4 linked regions of the Saccharomyces cerevisiae S288C genome follow. Changing the gene in region 3 together with the main gene of any one other region gives a genetic interaction. Each region holds a gene or a part of one and is shown on either strand. Other genes may lie near its edges. The genes, in order: YGL235W, AIM18, UBC8 and PDB1.

The links.
Region 1: mutations in UBC8 (region 3) and YGL235W together harm fitness more than expected from each alone (negative genetic interaction), as found in Saccharomyces cerevisiae (2 studies listed by BioGRID).
Region 2: mutations in UBC8 (region 3) and AIM18 together harm fitness more than expected from each alone (negative genetic interaction), as found in Saccharomyces cerevisiae (2 studies listed by BioGRID).
Region 4: mutations in UBC8 (region 3) and PDB1 together harm fitness more than expected from each alone (negative genetic interaction), as found in Saccharomyces cerevisiae (2 studies listed by BioGRID).

What each region holds. Positions count from the first base shown.
Region 1 is NC_001139.9:53,338-56,315, reverse strand, and holds YGL235W (uncharacterized protein), read right to left. Parts: upstream 1,038-2,978; coding exon 501-1,037; downstream 1-500. Other genes in the region: tRNA modification protein MTO1, read left to right, coding at 520-2,529; transcription activator HAP2, read left to right, coding at 2,788-2,978.
Region 2 is NC_001140.6:495,815-504,377, forward strand, and holds AIM18 (Aim18p), read right to left. Parts: upstream 1,467-8,563; coding exon 501-1,466; downstream 1-500. Other genes in the region: RIX1 (Rix1p), read left to right, coding at 1-373; AIM46 (Aim46p), read right to left, coding at 1,676-2,608; NBL1 (borealin), read right to left, coding at 2,757-2,905, 2,973-3,045; proteasome regulatory particle base subunit RPN10, read left to right, coding at 3,265-4,071; PPX1 (exopolyphosphatase), read right to left, coding at 4,136-5,329; SMN1 (Smn1p), read left to right, coding at 6,574-8,382.
Region 3 is NC_001137.3:128,665-133,060, forward strand, and holds UBC8 (E2 ubiquitin-conjugating protein UBC8), read left to right. Parts: upstream 1-3,107; coding exon 3,108-3,112; intron 3,113-3,235; coding exon 3,236-3,887; downstream 3,888-4,396. Other genes in the region: protein anchor VAC8, read left to right, coding at 161-1,897. UniProt on the Saccharomyces cerevisiae protein: Catalyzes the covalent attachment of ubiquitin to other proteins. Required for the adaptation to the presence of glucose in the growth medium; mediates the degradation of enzymes involved in gluconeogenesis when cells are shifted to glucose-containing medium.
Region 4 is NC_001134.8:661,831-670,591, reverse strand, and holds PDB1 (pyruvate dehydrogenase (acetyl-transferring) subunit E1 beta), read left to right. Parts: upstream 1-4,338; coding exon 4,339-5,439; downstream 5,440-8,761. Other genes in the region: TDP1 (tyrosyl-DNA phosphodiesterase 1), read left to right, coding at 295-1,929; PCS60 (Pcs60p), read left to right, coding at 2,241-3,872; YBR221W-A (uncharacterized protein), read right to left, coding at 3,950-4,054; YBR220C (uncharacterized protein), read left to right, coding at 5,915-7,597; YBR219C (uncharacterized protein), read left to right, coding at 7,289-7,589, 8,011-8,093; PYC2 (pyruvate carboxylase 2), read left to right, coding at 8,343-8,761. UniProt on the Saccharomyces cerevisiae protein: The pyruvate dehydrogenase complex catalyzes the overall conversion of pyruvate to acetyl-CoA and CO(2).

The sequences.
Region 1 (2,978 bases), on a different chromosome or scaffold from region 3:
TTACCAGGACACGAGTCAGTCGGCACTTGTCACTACCGACGGGGCGAGTCAACTGAAAAAAAAAATGAAAAATTTTGAAAAAAAAAAAAAGCTGCTTACTGCCACTATTAGTCACGGTATGAACAACGGCAGTTGAAGATTAGACGATTTCTTAACGCTTAGGTAGTTATTAGAGTATGATATAGTAGATTCAAGTTTATGATATCTGTCTGTCCCTGTGTGGGGTTGTAGTAATGCTGTGGCTTCTTTCTTGTTACTTAGATATGGCGTTGCAGAAGGAACGTACAAAGAGGTGCTTCTTCATCCGGGGGTCTTCTACTTTTGTATGGCTCTTGATCGCCACCGTGTAATCGAGCCCTTGTGGCTTCTCTAAGGTACCTGTGTGCGGCCACTTTCTTTATGGTTGGTAACGTATGGTGGCATCTTTCACAGACGGATAAGTGCGGTTTAATTCTTCACTTAAATCTTGAGGGCATCCAATAGTTTCTGCAGAATACCAGCTAAACGCCCCAAAGAACGATGCTGCGTGTAACAACCTTGGCGTCTTCGTGTACTTCATTTCCCTTACAGGTCCTCAGGAGGCGGTTGACCATATCTTCTTTGACAAGCTTCCAACCCACAACCAAGACACAGGTCGTGGTCATCGGTGCTGGACATGCAGGCTGCGAAGCTGCAGCTGCGTCATCTAGGACTGGTGCGCATACTACTCTCATTACACCATCGTTAACAGATATTGGTAAGTGTTCGTGCAACCCCTCTATTGGTGGAGTGGGTAAGGGCATCCTTGTAAAGGAAATCGACGCTCTCGATGGGCTGATGGGCAAAGTAACTGATCTCGCTGGAGTGCAATTCAAAATGCTGAACAGAAGCAAGGGTCCTGCTGTGTGGGGGCCCAGAGCCCAGATAGACAGAGAGTTATATAAGAAATACATGCAAAGGGAACTTTCCGACAAGAAAGCACACCCCAACTTGTCTCTGCTGCAGAACAAAGTTGCTGACTTGATCTTGTATGACCCCGGATGTGGCCACAAGGTCATCAAAGGTGTGGTTCTGGATGACGGTACCCAGGTTGGGGCAGATCAGGTCATAATCACTACAGGTACGTTTCTCAGTGCAGAAATTCACATCGGCGACAAGCGTATTGCAGCAGGAAGAATTGGCGAGCAGCCAACATATGGGATCAGCAATACTCTACAAAATGAGGTGGGCTTTCAGTTAGGGCGTTTGAAAACAGGCACTCCGGCTAGGCTGGCCAAGGAATCCATTGATTTCAGCGCTCTGGAGGTCCAGAAGGGAGATGCGTTGCCTGTCCCTATGAGTTTTCTGAATGAAACCGTGTCAGTCGAACCCACGAAGCAACTGGATTGCTTTGGCACACATACCACACCTCAAATGCACGACTTTTTGCGCAATAACTTGCATCAATCCATTCATATTCAGGACACGACCATCAAAGGCCCCCGCTATTGTCCCTCCATCGAAGCTAAGATTCTAAGGTTTCCTGATAGATCTTCCCATAAGATATGGTTGGAACCAGAAGGTTTCAACTCCGACGTCATTTATCCGAACGGGATATCCAATTCTATGCCTGAGGATGTCCAGTTACAAATGATGAGGCTCATCCCGGGCATGGCAAACGTTGAGATCTTGCAGCCGGCATACGGCGTGGAATACGACTACGTAGACCCACGGCAATTAAAGCCTAGCTTGGAAACAAAATTGGTGGATGGACTATTCTTGGCCGGACAAATAAATGGTACTACAGGCTACGAGGAAGCCGCTGCACAGGGGATCATTGCAGGTATCAATGCAGGATTACTATCGCGCCAAGAACGGGAGCAATTGGTCTTGAAAAGGTCCGAAGCGTACATTGGTGTGCTCATTGACGATCTAATCAATAATGGCGTCATAGAACCATATAGAATGTTTACTTCCAGATCAGAATTCAGAATCAGCGTAAGAGCCGATAACGCAGACTTCAGACTGACGCCCATTGGTGCTCAACTAGGGATTATATCTCCTGTCCGTTTAAGTCAATATTCAAGAGACAAGCACCTATATGATGAAACAATACGGGCGCTTCAAAATTTCAAGCTAAGCTCTCAAAAATGGTCTAGCTTACTACAGGCTAATATCGCGCCACAGGCTGAAAACAGATCTGCTTGGGAAATATTCAGATTCAAAGATATGGATCTACATAAACTCTACGAGTGCATTCCCGATTTACCCATTAATTTGCTGGACATCCCAATGCATGTTGTCACCAAAATTAACATTCAAGGTAAATACGAACCTTACATTGTCAAACAGAACCAGTTTGTGAAGGCATTTCAGGCAGACGAAAATATGCTGTTGCCGCAAGATTACGATTACCGTCAGTTACCCACGCTTTCCACTGAATGCAAACTACTCTTGAACCGCGTACAGCCATTGACCATAGGCCAAGCAAGACGGATTCAAGGTATCACTGCGGCAGCCCTATTTGAACTCTACCGTGTGGCACGGAAGCCAAGCCAACCAGTCATGTAAATATCCTTTAATCGTTAGCTTGTATATGTAAATAATTCATTGTATGTAACCATCAAATTCGTTATTTAGCAATCTTACCCGGAAAACTTCTTGTATCGTAACATTAATTCTCCCTTACAAGGGGACCTCGATGAATAAATAAAGTGTTTGTGTTGAAGGTACTTGCAAAAGGGCAACTCACTGTCGTTTATAATTTGATTTACTAATCGCATCTGTATTTGGAAAAGCATTTCTTTTTGGAAGAGGAACAAGAACGCCATGTCAGCAGACGAAACGGATGCGAAATTTCATCCATTAGAAACAGATCTGCAATCTGATACAGCGGCTGCAACATCAACGGCAGCAGCTTCACGCAGTCCCTCTCTTCAAGAGAAGCCCATAGAGATGCCCTTGGATATGGGAAAAGCGCCTTCTCCAAGAGGCGAAGATCAACGGGTTACAAATGAAGA
Region 2 (8,563 bases), on a different chromosome or scaffold from region 3:
TGAAACGAACGAATCATCCTCAAACGCCAATACTGGCCTGGAGACTTTAAAAGCGTTAGAAAATTTGGAAAATGTTACAATCCCTGAACCCAAACACGAAGTCCCAAAGGTCGTCGATGATACTGCCATATTCAAGAAAAGGTCAGTAGAAGAAGTCATTGAAAGAGAGTCTACATCTTCACATAAGAAAGTGAAATTCGTTGAAGAAACAACCGTGGATAATGGCGAAGAATTGATTGTAAAAAAAGCTGTAAGCCAAACTAAGGAAGAAGAGAAGCCAATGGAGGACAGTGAAGATGAAGAACAGGAGGAGTTTGAAATTCCCGCTATCGAATTAAGTGATGACGAAGAGGAGGAGGAAGAAGAAGAATAATAATATCAACCAGATTTTGTTTGGTTATATTTCGACTAGAATATATGTATGCATATGCTAAAATTGTACATAGGCATTTACGAATGAAAATAGTGTAGAGGTATGAACAAGACTAAATTCTAAAAGTTTAGAGGAGTGTGATCAATTTGTCGATAGCTGTTTTTTTGGCTTGTGGAGAAGGAGATTTTTCGCCACATAAATATTGGCTAAATAAGAATTTTCCGACGAGTTGATTATTAACTACTCCCATGACCTCAAATTCGTTGTTTTTACTGTCATGATATGAAAATTGTAAAGCGCCGTTGGCTAATAATTCGATGATCAAATCGTCATTTTTCCTGACGGATCCCTTACGTGAAAAGGCATCATTTAACTCACTTAGGCCCTTCGCCAGTGTGTCTTTATTATTGGCCACATCGGGATGTTTAGAAATAGTTTTGACCAGGCCCTCCTTAAGATGCTTAAAATCTGTATTCCTTACGGGAGTTATCTTGGCTAGCATTCTCATTCCAGAATCCAGTAAGTCATCAATCATCATAACGGATTTTGAGTCATCACGTTTCAATAATCTAGCTAGATTCTCCTTAGGAGTCTTAGAATCATCCACATCAAGGAAATATTTATGTAAATAAGTTTCATTTAGAGTGTCTGAAACAAGGTTTTCGTCATTTTCAGCTAGATAAAGACCCAAGGCATAGACCTTGAACCTCAAAAACGTGACGTGCCTTTGACCATATCCCAGTAATTTAAAAGTTGTAGAGACAGGGAAATTTAAAGCAGTAATCGTTAGTGGGAAATCTGATACGCTAGAGTCTACCTGTATCGATTCAGTATGAGAAGGAAAAGCATCAGTTTTATCGTCATTTTGTACCGGACGATCACGGTAGTATAACGAAGTAGCGAGCAATGTTGACGCCGCAAACCAGGGCCAATAGTGGAACGTCGAATTAGAACGCCCAGGGTATTTAGTGGCTCGTATACTAGTAAAATTTCTTTTGAAACATTGCCAATGGTTGGTTGATGGAGATTTCTGACATTTAGCTAGTGTTCGCTGGAGTGATTTTAGCATATTGGCGCACCTTCCTCTGTCCATGAAGGGATTCTATCGCGGTTGTAACGCCGTAAGAGTTTTGAATTGATTTTTTCTTGTCAAAACCGAATAGCATTGTAAACATTTTGAGGGGTCCCTCCTAGAAAAATTGAGTCGAAAGGAAACTCAAAAAAACATCATTAGAGTATATGTGCAGCTTTTGGAACAGCGTATGTATTATGTAATTGTATGTAGAAGTCGGCGAAAGTGTCCTAAGATAGAGAGACGAGTGCATCGATTACTTCCTTCCTAGCCTCCGGAGAAGGAGGATCCACAGCAGCTAGGTAGTGGGCAAATAAGAGCTTTCCAATAAGGGGTTCCTTCACTGTGCCCAATATCACAAATTCATCCTTCTTTCTTGCGTAGTAAGACAAATTCATAGAGCAGTCCTTATTCAGCTCAATGAAAAAATCATCATCTCGAGCCACAAGTCCTTTTACGCTCCTGAAACAGTCATGCAATTCTTGGAATCCAGCTTCCAGCCGGTCTTTGTCTTGAGACTGAGAATCTGGGTTCTTTAGGACGCTCTTTTTGGTGCCGTCCATCAATAACTTGAAGGAACCTGCTTTTATCGGAGTATTCTTGGACATTAGTCTGATTCCGCTGTCTAAGAGGTTATTAATCAGGATAGGGGCCTTAGCAGGATCGTTCAAAGCCGCACGCAAATTATCCTGATGTGAGTTTTCCGGTGATGGGGGTGCCGCAGTGTCGATGAACGCCTGAGACAGGAACTTTGAGTCCAGTACTTCAGAGACCAGATGTTTGTCTTCAGCGGCCACATATATGCCCAGACCATATGCTTTGAAAGTGATCGATGAGACACAACGTACACCCTTACCAATCAGCTCATATTGCGTGGAGAAGGGCCACTGTGGGGGGCCCATCTTCTTAGGGAACGCAGAGATGGATGCGTCCACTGCAACGCTGGTGGCATCCGCCTTTTTGATCTGGGAATCGTCATACCATTTCTTCGCGAATATGGATGCCAGTGCTAACCCTGTTAACACAGGCACTACTTTGCTGCCCTTCTTGTTCACACGAGCATTGCCCGCTGTAGTAGAGTAGTGAGAATACCATTGTGGGGCCCTCCTCATACCTACCTCTAGGCAATTTGTTTTCACCAAAACTTTACTGATTAAACGCATGTTTCCATATACCTGGCCTTCTGCTAAGTAGACATGTATTCAACAAGGGGATGTAACCACACGCTGCTTTAATACCAACAAATCGGCCGCTGATTAGTAATAGGTGCATCATTGCGAATACCGAGAAAGGGTCCATTATACGAACTAATCATTCTATACGGCGTCCTTCCTGTTCAAGCACCTCTCTGATTAGTTCCTTTGATTGAGGCGCTGATGTTGCATCAGGCTGCTGGAGCAGATTTAGTTTCTTTAACGTCTCCTCTTTAATATTTTCGATCAGTTTTTCTGTTGTTTCCACTGAGGTTGTGTTAGTAATTAGTGCGGGTGAAGGTTGGGGGTAGAGTGTTGCGGTGAGGTGACATACGTTCCAGCTGCATTCGATGTAGTATTGCGCTGCGCAACTTCTGCCGTTCTTCGGGAGTGAGAGCCGGTATCATCGTAACCGAGTGCGGCAGCTGCCCTTTTGCTGATGTTGTTGCCACTTCTTGTTTACAATTGTATTCTCTTGAAGTTATATGGCATTATAGCTGCCGGGTTATTTCCGCCAGGCGGGTTTTCGCCACCGGAATTTACAACTAAATACACACTTATATCAGACTTTTAAAGCGTAAAGAAAGAAGGGAAAAGTCAATAAATAACTCAGCAGTAACCGCACAATGGTATTGGAAGCTACAGTGTTAGTGATTGATAATTCAGAGTACTCTCGCAATGGCGACTTTCCTAGGACAAGGTTTGAAGCCCAGATCGACTCGGTAGAGTTCATATTTCAAGCCAAGAGAAACAGCAATCCTGAGAATACAGTGGGTCTTATCTCTGGTGCTGGCGCCAACCCCAGGGTGTTATCTACGTTTACCGCCGAGTTTGGGAAGATTCTTGCTGGACTACACGACACGCAGATCGAGGGTAAGCTGCATATGGCCACTGCGTTGCAGATCGCTCAGCTGACTTTGAAGCATCGCCAGAATAAGGTCCAACATCAAAGGATTGTGGCATTTGTGTGTAGCCCAATAAGTGATTCTCGAGACGAATTGATCAGATTGGCAAAAACACTGAAAAAGAATAATGTTGCCGTGGACATCATCAATTTTGGAGAGATTGAACAGAACACGGAGCTTTTGGATGAGTTCATAGCTGCAGTGAACAACCCTCAAGAAGAAACTAGTCATTTGCTTACTGTGACGCCTGGCCCCAGACTGCTGTACGAGAACATCGCATCTTCACCCATAATTCTCGAAGAAGGATCCTCCGGTATGGGCGCCTTTGGTGGGTCTGGCGGTGATTCCGATGCCAATGGCACATTTATGGACTTCGGGGTAGACCCATCAATGGACCCAGAACTGGCAATGGCCTTGCGTCTGTCTATGGAAGAAGAGCAGCAAAGACAGGAAAGGTTAAGACAGCAGCAACAACAACAAGATCAGCCTGAGCAGTCTGAACAGCCTGAACAACACCAAGACAAATAGTAGTGTACAAAAATATCTATATGGGTCATATATAAACCAAATAAAGCATATATAACATCTCCCTTCACTCTTCCAGGTTTGAGTACGCTTCCTCTAAATAGGGGACGACTTGCTTTCTGGTGGCCTCGACGTTCAGTTGCTTAAACATCGCCACACCTCCATCAAGATTGCCCCCAAATAATTGAAGTTGGAGCTTGTCGCTAACCCTTTCAATGAGTTCACGTACCACGTTAGAGTCTCCCAATATGACCAATTCTCTGTGTGAATCACCAGCTTTCCTCCATGAAGTCAACAGAACCAATACATCGAGCCCCCTCTCCGCCTGAAATCTTCTGCATTGGTTGACGAAATCTGCTTCACCACCGTGTTCATTGAATAGCCAAGACATTCTTTTTACTATTGATGAAAGACCAATCTCTAACCCTTTGTGTCCCTTTCCTTGGAAATTGAATTGTTTGTAGTCCTTCTTTAGAATATCGCTTACCGAAAATCCTTTAATATCGTTCTTTCTTGATTTTATCTCTTTATAAAACTCACTGCTGTCCTCTAAACCTTGCGCAGACACTTCATTAACCGCACCACTAAGAACAGCTTGGCATCTCTCGATAGCTAATTTATCACTTTCCTCGACTTTGCGCCTCATATTTGAAGTGTCTATTAAGATGGCCCCCATCAAAAGTGGTGCAATGTTCATCACCACTTCACGGTCACCTTGCAATTTTTCATACCAGTAGTTAAAAACCAGCGATGAGCAACTGCCGGACACTTTTACAATCCGAGGTTCAGCATCCAAATGTTTTTGCAAGTCAAAATGGTGGTCTATAATGCCAACGACGTTATCTATATAATTTTTCAAATTCTTTGGTGTATCGTTATTATCTACCAAGTAAGAGTTTAATTCAGTACCCTGGGAGACATTTTGCTTCAAGCTCTTTAAATCTTCAATGAAGAATAATTCCTCCTCCTTAATTTTCAGTTTTTCTAGGACATACATTACGTCTCTTCTTAAACTGAGGTCTTCTCTAGGAATGTCGATAATTGGGACAATAAAGCTTCCTTTCTTTTTCTCCTCCGAGTAAGTACCTTCATTATATATGTATTGGCAGTACGAATAAGTGATTGCACTAGCAATTGAGTCCATATCTGCTGACTCGTTACCAACACATATTGTTAACACATCGTTGCTTGCAATTTTTGAAATTGGCAGTGATTTTAAGTGTGCCAAAAATTCAGGAACCGTCTTTCTCAAAGGCGACATCTTTCTTAACAATCGGTGTTTTGAACTTTTTGATTATTTGTTTCAAGTGGCTTTAGTTAATTATGTACACTTCGTTTCTTTTTTCTACTCTTAAAAGTGAAAAAAATGAAAAATCAGCGGCATGTATAGCATACAGATAATAGGAAAAAGGTTGTGAGTTATTCTTCGAGACTATTTCGACTCGTATTCTAAATTAGAATTCAAGTAGGTGGATAATGTGACAAAATGAATGAAGGTTAGAGCTTTACACAGAGTATTATCCTCGGCGTTTTCTATCAAAGCTTCTGGTTATTCCATACTTTTTTCAAGGACAGCAGAAACATATGCCATTTTACACCTCCTGGGAAAATAATTTGTAATTTTCTAGTGACTCAATGCTTGTTGAAAGTGATCTTGTATAATGAGTGTACACATGAGATGTGCAAATTTCTTCATTACTTAGCGAGAAGTGTACACTCTTGAATATAATAACACTAACAGTGGAATCATCGGTAATAATAATACTATTGATCGTAGTGAAAGCAAAACACGACTGTACTTGAGTTATAAATTTTGTTGCTGTAGAAATTTCAGTGATCATTCATTAGCAACTTATTAAGATGACGATTATATTTTACGGTTCTTTTCACAAACCATTATACTTGCTAAAGGTTGTAAAAGTCATACACTTTTTAACATCAAGATTTCAGTACAACAATTTCTTACATGTAAAATCGTTTGCAAATTAAGTTCGCCAAATTGTATCTTAATTAAAATCTATGTGTTCAGAAGTTGAATATTGGTAAAAAGAAACAAAATGTATAAACGAACGAAAAAGGAAGTGATCAAAATAGAGTAAGGAACCAAGGCATTAGGTTCACCCGAACGTTATCATATATACGCTCATATTATTCCAAGAAAGACACATTTGTCTAGATAGGTTTCGGTAAAGGCGTCCGTAGTTAGAGAGTAGATGGCACTAACTTGAAAGCAGGAAAACAAACAATTGTGTTCCAGAGCAAACTCGAACTTTCTATCTGAACCATTGCATGACGTAAAATTATTATTACAACCATAATGAAACATTTCTACAGTATATCTTTAATATTATTTTTTACTTTAGTGTCCTTATCGATCAGTCGCTCTTTCGCCAACTAGCCGCCAATTGCAAAAGCCGATAAGCTTATTTCCCCTCAAGCCGTCAACAAGAACTACAGCAATAACAAAGAGAGTGAATGCAATAAAGGTGTGCGCAACAGTGTAAAATGATACTAAAGCTTGTACACTGTTTAGTTGCTCTTACAGGATTAATCTTTGCAAAGCCGTATCAACAACAACAGGCAGTTTTAGCGCCGTCGCAGGATGTACCATTAAGAGATATCCATATAGGGGATATAAATTTTATCCATACAACCGATACTCATGGCTGGTTGGGGTCCCATCTATCACAAAACGACTATGATGCTGACTGGGGAGATTTCGTTGCATTTGTAGATATACTTAGAGAAAAAATTTTACGACAGTCCAGAGACGTAATAGTCATCGACACTGGCGACAAACGAGACGGTAATGGTTTGAGTGATGCTACTTGGCCCCCCGGCCTACGAAGCTCGGAGATATTCAACATGATGGATTACGATCTTTTAACGTTAGGTAATCATGAGCTATATACAGCTGAAAGTGCCATACTAGAGTATAGAGGAACTTCTCAGTCCTCAAAATTCAAAGACAAATATGTTTGCAGCAACGTAGAATTTATTGAAGATGACGGAACAAGGGTTCCTTTCGGGAATAAATACATTACATTCGAGACTCCCATAATGAAACAAAGAGTCCTGGCATTATCATTTTTGTTTAGTTTTCAAAGAGCAAATAACAGAGCCATCGTAACACCACCATTGGAAGAAATAACTCAAAAAAGCTGGTTCCAAAATATGGTTGAGACAAACAGAGAGGAGGAAATCGACCTAATTATTGTCTTTGGTCATTTGCCTGCCACTGACCCTACAGAGCGTGAAATGCACAAAATTCATGCTCTAATAAGGAAATACTACCCAAATACTGTTATACAATATTTTGGAGGGCACACTCATATCAGGGATTTTGTACAGCTGGACTCAAAATCTACTTGTTTACAAAGTGGTAGATTTGCGGAAACTGTGGGATTCTTGTCAATTAATATGACTGACCCTGTGGACGCCGAAAGTCCTATTTTCTCAAGAAGGTATATTGACTTTAACAAGGAAGCTTTCAAATACCATTTGAGCAAACTAGGGCATGACTCGAATGTTCCAGTCTCAACGAAAAAGGGTAAAACTATTTCTCGTTTGGTGAATGATCTGCGCCATGAACTAAATTTGAACGAGAAACTGGGGTACATTCCTCAAACTTACTACGTTTCAACAAGGCCATTAAACTCCGAAGAGAATCTTTATCATTTGATCACGCATAAGATTTTACCCAATTTAATTCCTCCCAAAAACTATGAACCTTCGATGAGTCGTTTCATTTTGATTAACACTGGCTCTGTCAGGTACGATCTTTACAAAGGCCCATTTACAAAGGATACTGAGTATATAGTGATGCCATTCAATAATGATTGGCGCTTCATCACAGTTCCATTGGTCGTTGCCTCCAGGGTGGAAACCTATTTGAACAAGGGCCCTGTCATTGCCTCATTAGGAATACCATCATCGTCTCATCACAAACAGCATTTTGGCGGTTTTCAGAAGTGTCCCTTCATCAATAATCCAAATTTAAGCGAAGGCTACACCACAGAAGACGATTTCGGGTGTCATGGTGATGACACACCTCACAATTCACAAAGAGAATACGATATCCCCAATGTAGTGCAATGTAAAGAGGTGAAGAAAGTGCAAGAAGAGGAAGCTGATCCGTCGAAGATGGTTCATGTTATCTTCTATTCCTTTATGGAACTCGATATATTAAACGCCGTAAATTCTATCATAAATGATTTAGGATTACGTATGGAGAACTTGACCACCAATGACTGCTCCCATTATGGTGGTGATTCAACCAAAAAGTTATTACGGGATTACTTTTCTCAATTTTAGAGTATTCTGCCATTTTTTTTATTTATTTATGCACATCGTTTAAAAAAGTTCATTTGCAGCGGAAATTGCACCTTTGCTCTCTCGTCCCTGTCTCTAATGAGGCACACTGGTTACACATTTCATGAAAAAAAAAGAAAAATTGTATGTATAATGCTTGTCACTTTTTTTATAATTGATATAT
Region 3 (4,396 bases):
CTGTTCAATCTCCTACTTTTCCTTTTGTTGTTAAAATAAGGTATTATATATTTATACAACCCTATAAAAAGCAATTAGCCAATTTCCAATCCTACGAAGACAGGAACTGAGCAAACTATAAGGGTGTTCTTTCTTCTGTACTATATATACATTTGCAACTATGGGTTCATGTTGTAGTTGCTTGAAAGATTCTTCAGACGAGGCCAGTGTCTCACCAATTGCCGATAATGAAAGAGAAGCGGTGACTTTATTACTAGGGTATTTGGAGGATAAAGACCAATTAGACTTTTACTCTGGTGGTCCACTAAAGGCCCTAACTACTTTGGTGTATTCAGATAATCTAAATTTGCAAAGGAGCGCCGCTCTGGCATTCGCAGAAATTACTGAAAAATACGTCCGTCAGGTCTCTAGAGAGGTACTGGAACCCATCTTAATATTATTACAAAGCCAAGATCCACAGATTCAAGTGGCCGCTTGTGCAGCCTTGGGTAATTTGGCCGTTAATAATGAAAATAAATTATTAATTGTGGAAATGGGAGGCTTAGAGCCATTAATAAACCAAATGATGGGTGACAATGTAGAAGTTCAATGTAATGCTGTTGGATGCATTACCAATTTAGCCACAAGGGATGACAATAAACATAAGATTGCTACTTCTGGTGCTTTAATTCCATTGACTAAGCTAGCTAAATCCAAACATATAAGAGTTCAGAGAAATGCTACAGGTGCATTATTAAATATGACACATTCTGAGGAAAATAGAAAAGAATTGGTTAATGCAGGTGCTGTGCCTGTATTGGTATCTTTACTGTCGTCCACCGATCCTGATGTTCAGTACTATTGTACTACTGCTTTATCAAATATAGCAGTGGATGAAGCCAATCGCAAGAAGTTGGCTCAAACTGAGCCAAGATTGGTTTCCAAATTGGTTAGTCTGATGGATTCTCCATCTTCAAGGGTAAAATGTCAAGCTACTTTGGCTTTACGAAACCTAGCGTCCGATACAAGCTACCAATTAGAAATTGTAAGGGCTGGTGGGTTGCCTCATTTGGTAAAGTTGATTCAAAGTGATTCTATACCACTGGTTTTGGCTAGTGTGGCATGCATTAGAAACATTTCTATTCACCCTCTAAATGAAGGTTTAATTGTTGATGCAGGTTTCTTAAAACCATTAGTAAGATTGTTGGACTATAAGGATTCAGAAGAAATTCAATGTCACGCCGTATCTACTTTGAGAAATTTGGCTGCATCATCTGAAAAAAACAGAAAAGAGTTCTTCGAAAGTGGTGCTGTCGAAAAATGTAAGGAACTGGCTCTAGATTCACCTGTTAGTGTTCAAAGTGAAATTTCCGCATGTTTTGCTATTTTAGCCCTAGCAGATGTCTCCAAATTGGATCTACTGGAAGCAAATATCTTAGATGCTTTAATCCCTATGACTTTTTCCCAGAACCAAGAAGTTTCTGGTAATGCTGCTGCTGCTTTGGCAAATCTATGTTCAAGAGTGAATAATTATACAAAAATTATTGAAGCATGGGATCGTCCGAATGAAGGCATTCGTGGATTTCTGATTAGATTTTTGAAAAGTGACTATGCTACCTTTGAACACATTGCGCTATGGACAATTTTACAATTGCTAGAAAGTCATAATGATAAAGTGGAAGATTTGGTTAAAAATGATGACGACATCATTAACGGAGTGAGAAAAATGGCAGATGTGACCTTTGAGCGTTTACAAAGATCAGGAATTGATGTTAAAAATCCGGGGAGCAACAACAATCCAAGCTCGAATGATAACAACAGTAATAACAATGACACAGGATCTGAACATCAACCTGTAGAGGATGCAAGTTTGGAATTGTATAATATTACTCAACAGATTTTACAATTTTTACATTGATTTTCTTCAAAAGCGGGACTAGGCATTATAATTTTTATCAAAATTTTCTTCTCAGAAGTTTTATTTTCTTTCTCTCCATTTCTTCCATCTTTTTAATCTTTGTTTCCTTTTTTTACATCATATTACTTCTACCTACTCTACTCTATTCTAATTTCAATTGATTTTTTTTATTTTATTTTTTTTTTTGTTAATAAAAGAAGAAAAAACTTAAAAACGAATAAGAGGCTGTCTTTGTTCCGTAGTATATGCCTATTTCCTTCTAGAAGTTTGAAGTGTCGTAAATTTTACCTACGGATAATGTTCGTTACATTGTTGAATGGCAACTGTAGTGAGGTAATGTTCAAAAAGTGAGAAAGCGGGAGAGAAGGGCTACATACAAAAACCAATTCTAGATAACATCTATATCTTCGTTTTTAGAATATATTGTAATAAAACACAATTGATAATACAGTTCTCTCTTCGTCCTCTGATGGTGGGAGATCTATTAAAAATACAAGTTAGCTGAGCGGGGGAAAAAAATAGGTCTTACCCGGATTCGAACCGGGGTTGTTCGGATCAAAACCGAAAGTGATAACCACTACACTATAAAACCTCTTAATTATTGATTTCCACAATAATTTTATCATATATCAACACTATTCTTCACATAGTTTTTTTAATCCCGGTGTCTCTCATCTGCTAATGAAAATACGTTCACTCATATTTCATGCACCTTCCAGTAGACTGACCCTTCATAAGGTTAAGAATATCATGGGGAAATTATCGCAATGCATGTCTCTTAAAGAATACAAGAATATATAAAGGCGAATCAACGATTCTTCACGATAATTTGTTTTCCTCTTAATCACACAGCAGTCTGAATTCTATCAGTGGCACATTAATCCTTGTTTCAATGCTCGTGTGCACATCTGCGTAAATATACATTCTTACGTTTTCTTATTTAATAATAGTAGGTTGAGCTTCGTCCACCGGGTAATGCTCCCGGAGCAGTGGAATTAAAAAAAAAAAGGGTGAGCACCGGAAACAGCTATCTGCGCTTAAGTATCACTAACGTAAAGCATAGGTAGGATTTCCAGTTCTGCCACATTTGATAAATAGTGTAATCCGTAATTATCAAGCGAGATAGTTTTCGAATATAATTTAGAAGTAAGAGCAAAATATTAATAGTATTTCATAAGGAATATTGGAAGAAAGGAGCGTAATACGAAAGATGAGGTATGTTTGATAAGATATATACGTATATTTATATATCACTCTTCTGAGAAAGTATGCCATAGAATGAGGATCACTAACAAAGAAAATGTCAATGAACTTCAAAGATATCGTTTAATGAAACAGTAGCTCTAAAAGAAGGATCGAGACAGATGTTATGAAACTGTTGATGAGTGATCATCAAGTGGATTTAATCAATGATAGCATGCAAGAGTTTCATGTAAAGTTCTTGGGACCAAAGGATACACCCTACGAAAATGGGGTTTGGAGGTTACATGTAGAGTTGCCGGATAATTACCCATACAAGTCGCCAAGCATAGGGTTCGTTAACAAGATATTCCATCCTAACATTGATATCGCATCGGGGTCCATATGTTTGGACGTAATTAACTCTACATGGTCGCCTTTATATGATCTGATAAATATAGTGGAGTGGATGATACCAGGTTTATTAAAGGAGCCTAATGGTAGCGATCCCTTGAATAACGAAGCTGCCACATTGCAATTACGAGATAAAAAACTGTATGAGGAAAAAATCAAAGAGTATATAGACAAGTATGCTACAAAGGAAAAGTACCAACAAATGTTTGGCGGAGATAATGATAGCGATGACAGTGATAGCGGCGGTGATTTACAAGAAGAGGACAGTGATTCTGATGAAGATATGGATGGCACTGGTGTTTCCAGTGGCGATGATAGCGTAGATGAGTTAAGCGAGGATCTAAGTGACATAGATGTCAGTGATGACGATGACTACGACGAAGTCGCAAATCAATAATTTCGAGCACACACATATATATATATATATATATATGTATGTATGTATAAGTATATATGATGGCATACTATACCACACGTACGACTATAATTACAAACAACTATCAAGCAACTACAAGGATCTCTGTGGGCTAGTGGCCTGCGGGCTCAATTTTGCTCTTGTTCCTGAACGGTGAATTCTGTAGTCTGTCATCCAGGGGAAGGGCAGGGCACTCATCAACAATGTGATAGTCAGAAAGCAATAATGTTTTGTATTCTGATGAGCTTTCACTATCTCTTCCGCAATACCCCTTTTTGCCTATATTACGGCATCATCTTTCCCCGCGTTCTCGTGGGGGCCAAATAAGCTTTGTCCAAGGGGCTGTTGCAACGGTAAAGGTAGTCGAGCCAAGTGACACCAGCAAACAAGGAAACAAGGAAGCAAGGAAGGCTTTCCATTTTCCAATAACGACATGAGTCTATCTATGGTGTATAAAAGTGGCAGGCTTTTCCTACATTTTTTTTCCCTGA
Region 4 (8,761 bases), on a different chromosome or scaffold from region 3:
ATGAGGGGAAAAATAATAAAAAAGAAAATTGAACAATCCTTCAATATGTGTCCTTTAATAATTACTACTACTTTACACACTTCTCCAGTAGCTGCTGCTTGTTTCAGGTGATGTGAACAACGTGTTTCAGCGTTCTTGGTAAGTGTTGGTATGGATCCCTTCTGATGTATTTTCGGCGGCCGCACTAAACTGCGAAAATGGTAATTTAATAAAGGGCTTATAAAGAGGAAAATAATGCAGAGAAACGGTGAGCCCAGACAAGAATGATGATAATGTGTTTTCAACCGATCATTAATGTCACGAGAAACAAATTTCAATGGAACTAAGAGGAAGAGGTCGGATGTTGCCGAGAAAGTAGCACAACGGTGGAAGAGCGTCAGGTATAGTGCTGAAATGGAGAATATGGCTCCGGTCAACAGTAACAATGATAGCGACGACTGCGTCATAGTCAGTGAATCGAAAATCATTGATTTGACTAATCAGGAACAAGATTTGAGTGAGAGAATAGAAACAAACGATACGGCAAAAGGTGCCGTTTTTAAACTAATGAAATCGGACTTCTATGAAAGAGAGGATTTTATGGGAGAAGTAGAGGATATGATTACATTGAAAGATATCTTTGGCACTGAGACACTAAAAAGAAGCATACTCTTCAGTTTCCAATACGAACTTGATTTCTTGTTGAGACAATTCCACCAGAACGTAGAGAACATAACCATCGTCGGCCAAAAGGGTACTATTATGCCTATCGAAGCCCGTGCTATGGACGCGACACTGGCAGTAATATTAAAAAAGGTCAAACTTATTGAAATAACGATGCCCCCATTCGCTTCCCACCATACGAAGCTGATCATAAACTTTTACGATAATGGCGAATGCAAAATATTCTTGCCATCTAACAATTTTACGTCAATGGAGACTAACCTGCCTCAACAGGTGTGTTGGTGCAGTCCCCTTTTGAAAATAGGTAAAGAAGGGCTACCAGTACCGTTTAAGAGAAGCTTGATAGAATACCTCAATTCGTACCACCTGAAAGACATTGACGAATTGATTACAAAAAGCGTAGAGGAAGTTAACTTTGCTCCTTTGAGCGAATTAGAATTTGTATATTCTACGCCCTCCAAATTTCAGTCGTCGGGTTTACTGTCGTTTTACAATAAACTAGAAAAACTTTCTGCTGGCACAAGTGCTAGTGATACTGCAAAACATTATCTATGTCAAACTTCATCCATAGGGACATCTCTATCAAGAGCGCGAGACGAAAACTTATGGACACATCTAATGATTCCTCTGTTTACCGGAATCATGTCCCCTCCAGCAAAGGACACCGCTGGGAGGAAGAAAGCAGAAATACTGCCAACGAATTCATTGATTAATGAATATTCGCAGAGAAAAATCAAGCCGTACATTATTTTCCCCACCGAACAAGAGTTTGTCACCAGTCCCTTAAAGTGGTCCAGTTCCGGGTGGTTTCATTTTCAATATCTTCAGAAAAAGAGCTACTACGAAATGCTGCGAAACAAGTTCAAAGTATTTTACAAGCAAGACCCTGCTATGGTTACTAGAAGACGAGGGACGACGCCCGCGCACTCTAAGTTTTACATGCATTGTGCAACAAACTCCGCAGGGCCCTGTGATGCATCGCAGGTATTTAAAGAACTAGAATGGTGCCTTTATACTTCGGCAAACCTCAGCCAAACAGCATGGGGCACCGTTTCAAGAAAACCACGCAATTATGAAGCAGGAGTGCTTTACCATAGTCGCAGGTTAGCAAATACCAGGAAGGTCACGTGCCGTACTTTTACACGTGACCGTAGAGGCTGCGCGGGTAATCCCACCCATGTGGCCGTGCCATTCACGCTGCCAGTCATACCATACGACTTAGCTGAGGACGAGTGCTTTTGCCTTGCTCGTCATGAGAACGACTAACAAGTAAGAGCGCGATGTTGCTGTCCACTTAGGCATCACTATATGGGGCCAGGAATGGCAAATTTACTTGATAAACTTCAGGCGATTGGATTTTGGTGCTCAGAATATTTTTTTCTCGGGCCGAAAGCGTCTTTAACTATTCCGAGCTAAAGCTTCCGAGTCCTTTATTCGGTCTTTTTTTATTTTTCAAGATTAACTGTATATAAATAGAGATGGTATGATTAAAAGCTCTTTTTAATAGATGCTCCTTCTTGAAATTTACTCCCACTGTGCTGCAAGAGGTTAGACGCTTCACGCACATTTTTGCTACAATGACAAGTGCCGCTACTGTTACTGCTTCGTTCAACGATACTTTTAGCGTATCCGATAATGTCGCCGTTATTGTTCCTGAAACGGACACTCAGGTGACCTACAGGGATCTATCCCACATGGTGGGTCACTTCCAGACCATGTTCACAAATCCTAATTCTCCATTGTACGGAGCTGTTTTCAGACAAGATACAGTGGCGATATCCATGCGTAATGGGCTGGAATTTATCGTCGCTTTCCTCGGTGCTACTATGGACGCTAAAATTGGCGCGCCCTTGAATCCCAATTATAAGGAAAAGGAGTTCAATTTTTATTTGAATGACCTGAAATCTAAGGCGATTTGCGTCCCAAAGGGTACCACAAAGTTACAGAGTTCTGAAATTCTAAAATCTGCCTCCACGTTTGGATGTTTTATCGTAGAGCTGGCCTTCGATGCGACCAGGTTTAGGGTAGAGTATGATATATACTCTCCAGAGGACAACTACAAAAGGGTTATTTACCGGTCTTTGAACAACGCCAAATTTGTCAACACAAATCCCGTTAAATTCCCTGGGTTTGCCCGTTCCAGTGACGTTGCCCTGATTTTGCATACCAGTGGTACCACCTCCACTCCAAAAACGGTGCCTTTGTTACATTTGAACATTGTGAGAAGCACGTTGAACATTGCTAACACTTACAAGCTAACGCCCTTGGACAGATCTTATGTCGTGATGCCTCTTTTCCACGTCCATGGGTTAATTGGTGTTTTACTTTCCACTTTTAGAACTCAGGGTTCTGTTGTGGTTCCCGATGGATTCCATCCAAAGTTATTCTGGGACCAATTTGTTAAGTACAACTGTAATTGGTTCAGTTGCGTTCCCACAATAAGCATGATTATGCTGAACATGCCCAAACCAAACCCTTTCCCACACATTAGATTCATCAGATCGTGTTCTTCTGCTTTGGCTCCAGCAACGTTCCATAAGCTGGAGAAGGAATTCAATGCACCTGTCTTGGAGGCCTATGCGATGACCGAAGCATCACATCAAATGACCTCAAACAATCTGCCTCCAGGAAAGAGAAAGCCTGGTACTGTGGGCCAGCCACAAGGAGTCACCGTCGTCATTCTAGATGACAATGACAATGTCTTGCCCCCGGGCAAAGTCGGCGAAGTTTCCATCAGAGGCGAAAACGTCACTTTGGGGTATGCTAATAATCCAAAAGCTAACAAGGAGAACTTCACCAAGAGAGAGAACTATTTCAGAACCGGTGACCAAGGTTATTTCGACCCTGAGGGGTTTTTGGTCCTTACAGGCAGAATCAAAGAGCTTATCAACAGGGGTGGTGAAAAGATTTCACCCATTGAGCTCGACGGCATTATGCTATCGCATCCAAAGATCGATGAAGCCGTTGCATTTGGTGTTCCCGACGATATGTACGGCCAAGTAGTTCAAGCCGCCATTGTTTTGAAGAAGGGAGAAAAAATGACCTACGAAGAACTGGTGAACTTCTTAAAGAAGCACCTAGCCTCTTTCAAAATTCCAACCAAGGTGTACTTTGTTGATAAGCTACCAAAAACCGCTACAGGTAAAATCCAGAGAAGAGTTATCGCAGAAACTTTTGCTAAGAGCAGCAGAAATAAGAGTAAGTTGTAGGCAGTATCCTGTACAATTTTATGCTCTCTGAAAGCTTCTATCTGGCACCCGTTTATATACGCCAATACTTATGTATTTTATCTATCTAATGAAACCACAGTATTTATCATGCCTAAGCTGATTCTTTTTCGTCGCGGCTGTTTCCGGGGTCTGTTTTCCGAGACTTCGAAGTGGGAGAACATGCAAAAGAGACGAGTCTTCAACTAAGAAGTTCTCCGTCATTAAAAGTCATGCGTTTGCACGTTTGCAATAAAAAGAGGTGTATCTACATATACAGGTTAACGATTGCAACAGCGACTCTTGATATTATCTCTGTCAAGTTTCTTCCTTTTGTTAGACTAATTTAGTATCATTTACACACTCGGACGTTAAATTCCGCCTCCCTCATAACAGTTCCTGTGTTTGTTCATTGATAATCGATCGCAGTTTAGTAAGTTCTTTTACTTTTGCAATAATTTTGTTCAACATGTTTTCCAGACTGCCAACATCATTGGCCAGAAATGTTGCACGTCGTGCCCCAACTTCTTTTGTAAGACCCTCTGCAGCAGCAGCAGCATTGAGATTCTCATCAACAAAGACGATGACCGTCAGAGAGGCCTTGAATAGTGCCATGGCGGAAGAATTGGACCGTGATGATGATGTCTTCCTTATTGGTGAAGAAGTTGCACAATATAACGGGGCTTATAAGGTGTCAAAGGGTTTATTGGACAGGTTCGGTGAACGTCGTGTGGTTGACACACCTATTACCGAATACGGGTTCACAGGTTTGGCCGTTGGTGCCGCTTTGAAGGGTTTGAAGCCAATTGTAGAGTTTATGTCGTTCAATTTCTCTATGCAAGCTATCGATCATGTTGTCAATTCCGCTGCAAAGACTCACTACATGTCTGGTGGTACTCAAAAATGTCAAATGGTCTTCAGAGGTCCTAATGGTGCTGCAGTGGGTGTTGGTGCTCAACATTCACAGGACTTTTCTCCTTGGTACGGTTCCATTCCAGGGTTAAAGGTCCTTGTCCCTTATTCTGCTGAAGATGCTAGGGGTTTGTTAAAGGCCGCCATCAGAGATCCAAACCCTGTTGTATTTTTAGAGAACGAATTGTTGTACGGTGAATCTTTTGAAATCTCAGAAGAAGCTTTATCCCCTGAGTTCACCTTGCCATACAAGGCTAAGATCGAAAGAGAAGGTACCGATATTTCCATTGTTACGTACACAAGAAACGTTCAGTTTTCTTTGGAAGCCGCTGAAATTCTACAAAAGAAATATGGTGTCTCTGCAGAAGTTATCAACTTGCGTTCTATTAGACCTTTAGATACTGAAGCTATCATCAAAACTGTCAAGAAGACAAACCACTTGATTACTGTTGAATCCACTTTCCCATCATTTGGTGTTGGTGCTGAAATTGTCGCCCAAGTTATGGAGTCTGAAGCCTTTGATTACTTGGATGCTCCAATCCAAAGAGTTACTGGTGCCGATGTTCCAACACCTTACGCTAAAGAATTAGAAGATTTCGCTTTCCCTGATACTCCAACCATCGTTAAAGCTGTCAAAGAAGTCTTGTCAATTGAATAAATAAACTTCAATCCAATAGGAAGGAGAGAAAGAAGGAGATAGGGAACTTTTTTCCCTGTACCCTACACTTTCTACCCTCTTCGCGGAAATAGTACTAATGAGAAAAACATAAATAATATTTTGCTAATCAAGACATGTATGGCGTACTGGTTATTAGTAGATATATAACTGCAAATACACACATACATACAATGTATATATTTTGTTTTTACAAAATTGAATGAGATAAGTACTGTGCACATTGAATGAGTTCCTGTTTCATGGTTAGAATACGCACATATTTATTTTCTTTTTTTTCTTTTCGACGACAGGCTGAATGAAAGAAAGAAAATAAAGATACTCTGGCATGCGAAAATAAGTGAAAAATAAATCGGCTATAATGCGTAAGCTACTGTGGGAAGCAGAAGCAAGACCTAAACGTTTGGTGAGGCAGTATAATATACCATAGTTATAGGGGGATAAAACAAAAGTAGGCATGGAACCTAAGCGAAAGAGCGGGTCACTAGCCAAGCATGATTTGCCGCAATTTTATCTTTTAATTATGTTATATTTGGCTCAAGGCATACCTGTAGGATTGGCCTTCGGTACCGTACCGTTTCTACTGAAATCTTTAGCAAAGGAGACCTCGTTTACATCACTGGGAATTTTCTCTATGGCTACATATCCATATTCTTTAAAGATCATATGGTCACCAATAGTAGACTCACTGTACAACAAGCGCATCGGTAGAAGAAGATCATGGATCATTCCAGTACAATTTGTTAGTGGATTTGTGCTATGGGCATTAGGGTGGTGCATATCACAAGGCATAATCTTCGATGGTGTCGACGATGCGTTCCATAATCGCGGTAATGGCACTTTACACAGTGTCAGTATAAAAAATTTGACGTGGTGGTTTGGCCTGTTAGTTTTTCTGTGTGCCACTCAAGACATCGCAGTTGATGGTTGGGCGTTGACGATTTTGTCCAAAGAATCCCTATCATATGCATCTACCGCGCAAACAATAGGTTTGAATATTGGTTATTTTATGTCATTTACCATTTTCCTGTCGTTGAATTCCTCTGATTTCGCCAATAAGTATTTCAGAAACATCCCACTGGATCACGGGTTCATTAGTCTTGGTGGGTACATGAAATTCTCGGGCATGCTTTACATTGTAATAACCATATATATCATCTTTTGCACCAAGGAAAAACCCTACGTAGAGTATTTGCCCAAAGTGGAGCCCATAAATACAAGTGACGGAGGGTCAAAGCCGATAAGTATTGAGTATGACGACGGTGATGTGGTGTCAACTCAGAATACAAGCAGTATAAAGTACATTTACCGCTGCTTTATAAAAGTGTTGAAATTGAAGTCCGTAAGAAGCCTAGCCTTCATTCACATGATTTCGAAATTTGCCTTTCAATGCAACGAAGCCGCCACAAACCTGAAACTACTAGAGCAAGGCTTCAAAAGAGAAGACTTGGCTGTGACAGTACTCATAGACCTGCCGTTCGAAATCATATTTGGGTACTATGTTGTTAAATGGAGCTCCGACAAGGACCCCATGATTCGTGACAATAGAAGATTAAGAAACAGCACGGGCACCAACAAGGTCATCAAGTTCTTAGTTGGGGATGCCGGCGTTTTAACACCATGGTTGTGGGGCTTTTTGGGCCGTCTGGCAGCCGCGGTCTTGGGAAGTTACGTGGTGAAGCAATTCCCCAAGGATGGTGAAATATCCACGGGTTATTTTTGTCTCGTGATATTCCAGCACCTCTTAGGTTCCTTCATGAATACTGTCCAGTTCATTGGAATATCGGCCTTCCATACAAGAGTTGCAGACCCCGTGCTGGGTGGCACATATATGACATTGTTAAATACCCTCAGCAACTTCGGTGGGACATGGCCGCGGTTAATCATTATGTCCATGATCAACTACTTCACCGTGTATCAGTGCACTATTCCTGGCACAAATAAAGTATACGTAACTCACGGCGGCAGCATGCAAGCGTGCACCGAGCTTTTGAATGGCACCGTGACCATCCTGCGTGACGGCTATTACATCACCAATCTCATATGTATTGTAGTCGGACTTTTCCTATATTTTGGATATTTGAAAAGGAAAATCCTCCATTTACAAAGTCTGCCAATCAGTTCCTGGAGATGTACGTAACGACCCCTCAAACAAGAATTGTACGACATTACGTTCAAGAAAATTTTAACGAGTATCGTAATATTTACAAGATCTTTTTATGTACTACAGGAAGCAGAAACAAAATGAGTATCAATACCAGTGTAAATCTGTTAATGAGAATCATCACATTATCCCAGTTTTTTCCATGCAAGGGAAAAATATACTATACGACATTTCTATACTTTAATTATCAATTAAGGTCATCTTTCTGTACGAAAACTAACCACGATTGTCACTAACGACGTGTCCCTTACCCGACGCAGCTGCTGATAGCGTACCGCACAGGCACAGCCAGCTCTTCTGTGATTGGCAGAGAGGGGTCCTTCCTGCGGAAGACGCCGCAAAGGCACATATGACTAACCTTTTTTTTTTCGCAATTAATTTTCTAATAGTTTTTCATTTTTTTTTTACAATTTTGGCAGTTACGTCTCGAGCTATTTATTATAAGAGTCAGAATTGGCGCAGGGAGTGTTAAGTAAGAAGTACTCCCCATCGGATATTTCCTATTGTGTTTCTGTGATTTTTAGTCCTTTTTTCTTTTCTCTTACTTTCGGTATCCTTACTTGATTACATACATAAACAAGCCCCTCTTTTCTTCCAAACTCTTGTAGCTTACTATCTGTGGCCCGTCATTTGAGTTTGATTTTTTTGCCAATTACTATATTGCAAAATAAAGGACAGTTACTAGGAGAGAAAATAAGGGACATAGAGAACAAAATAAAATATGAGCAGTAGCAAGAAATTGGCCGGTCTTAGGGACAATTTCAGTTTGCTCGGCGAAAAGAATAAGATCTTGGTCGCCAATAGAGGTGAAATTCCGATTAGAATTTTTAGATCTGCTCATGAGCTGTCTATGAGAACCATCGCCATATACTCCCATGAGGACCGTCTTTCAATGCACAGGTTGAAGGCGGACGAAGCGTATGTTATCGGGGAGGAGGGCCAGTATACACCTGTGGGTGCTTACTTGGCAATGGACGAGATCATCGAAATTGCAAAGAAGCATAAGGTGGATTTCATCCATCCAGGTTATGGGTTCTTGTCTGAAAATTCGGAATTTGCCGACAAAGTAGTGAAGGCCGGTATCACTTGGATCGGCCCTCCAGCTGAAGTTATTGACTCTGTGGGTGACAAAGTCTCTGC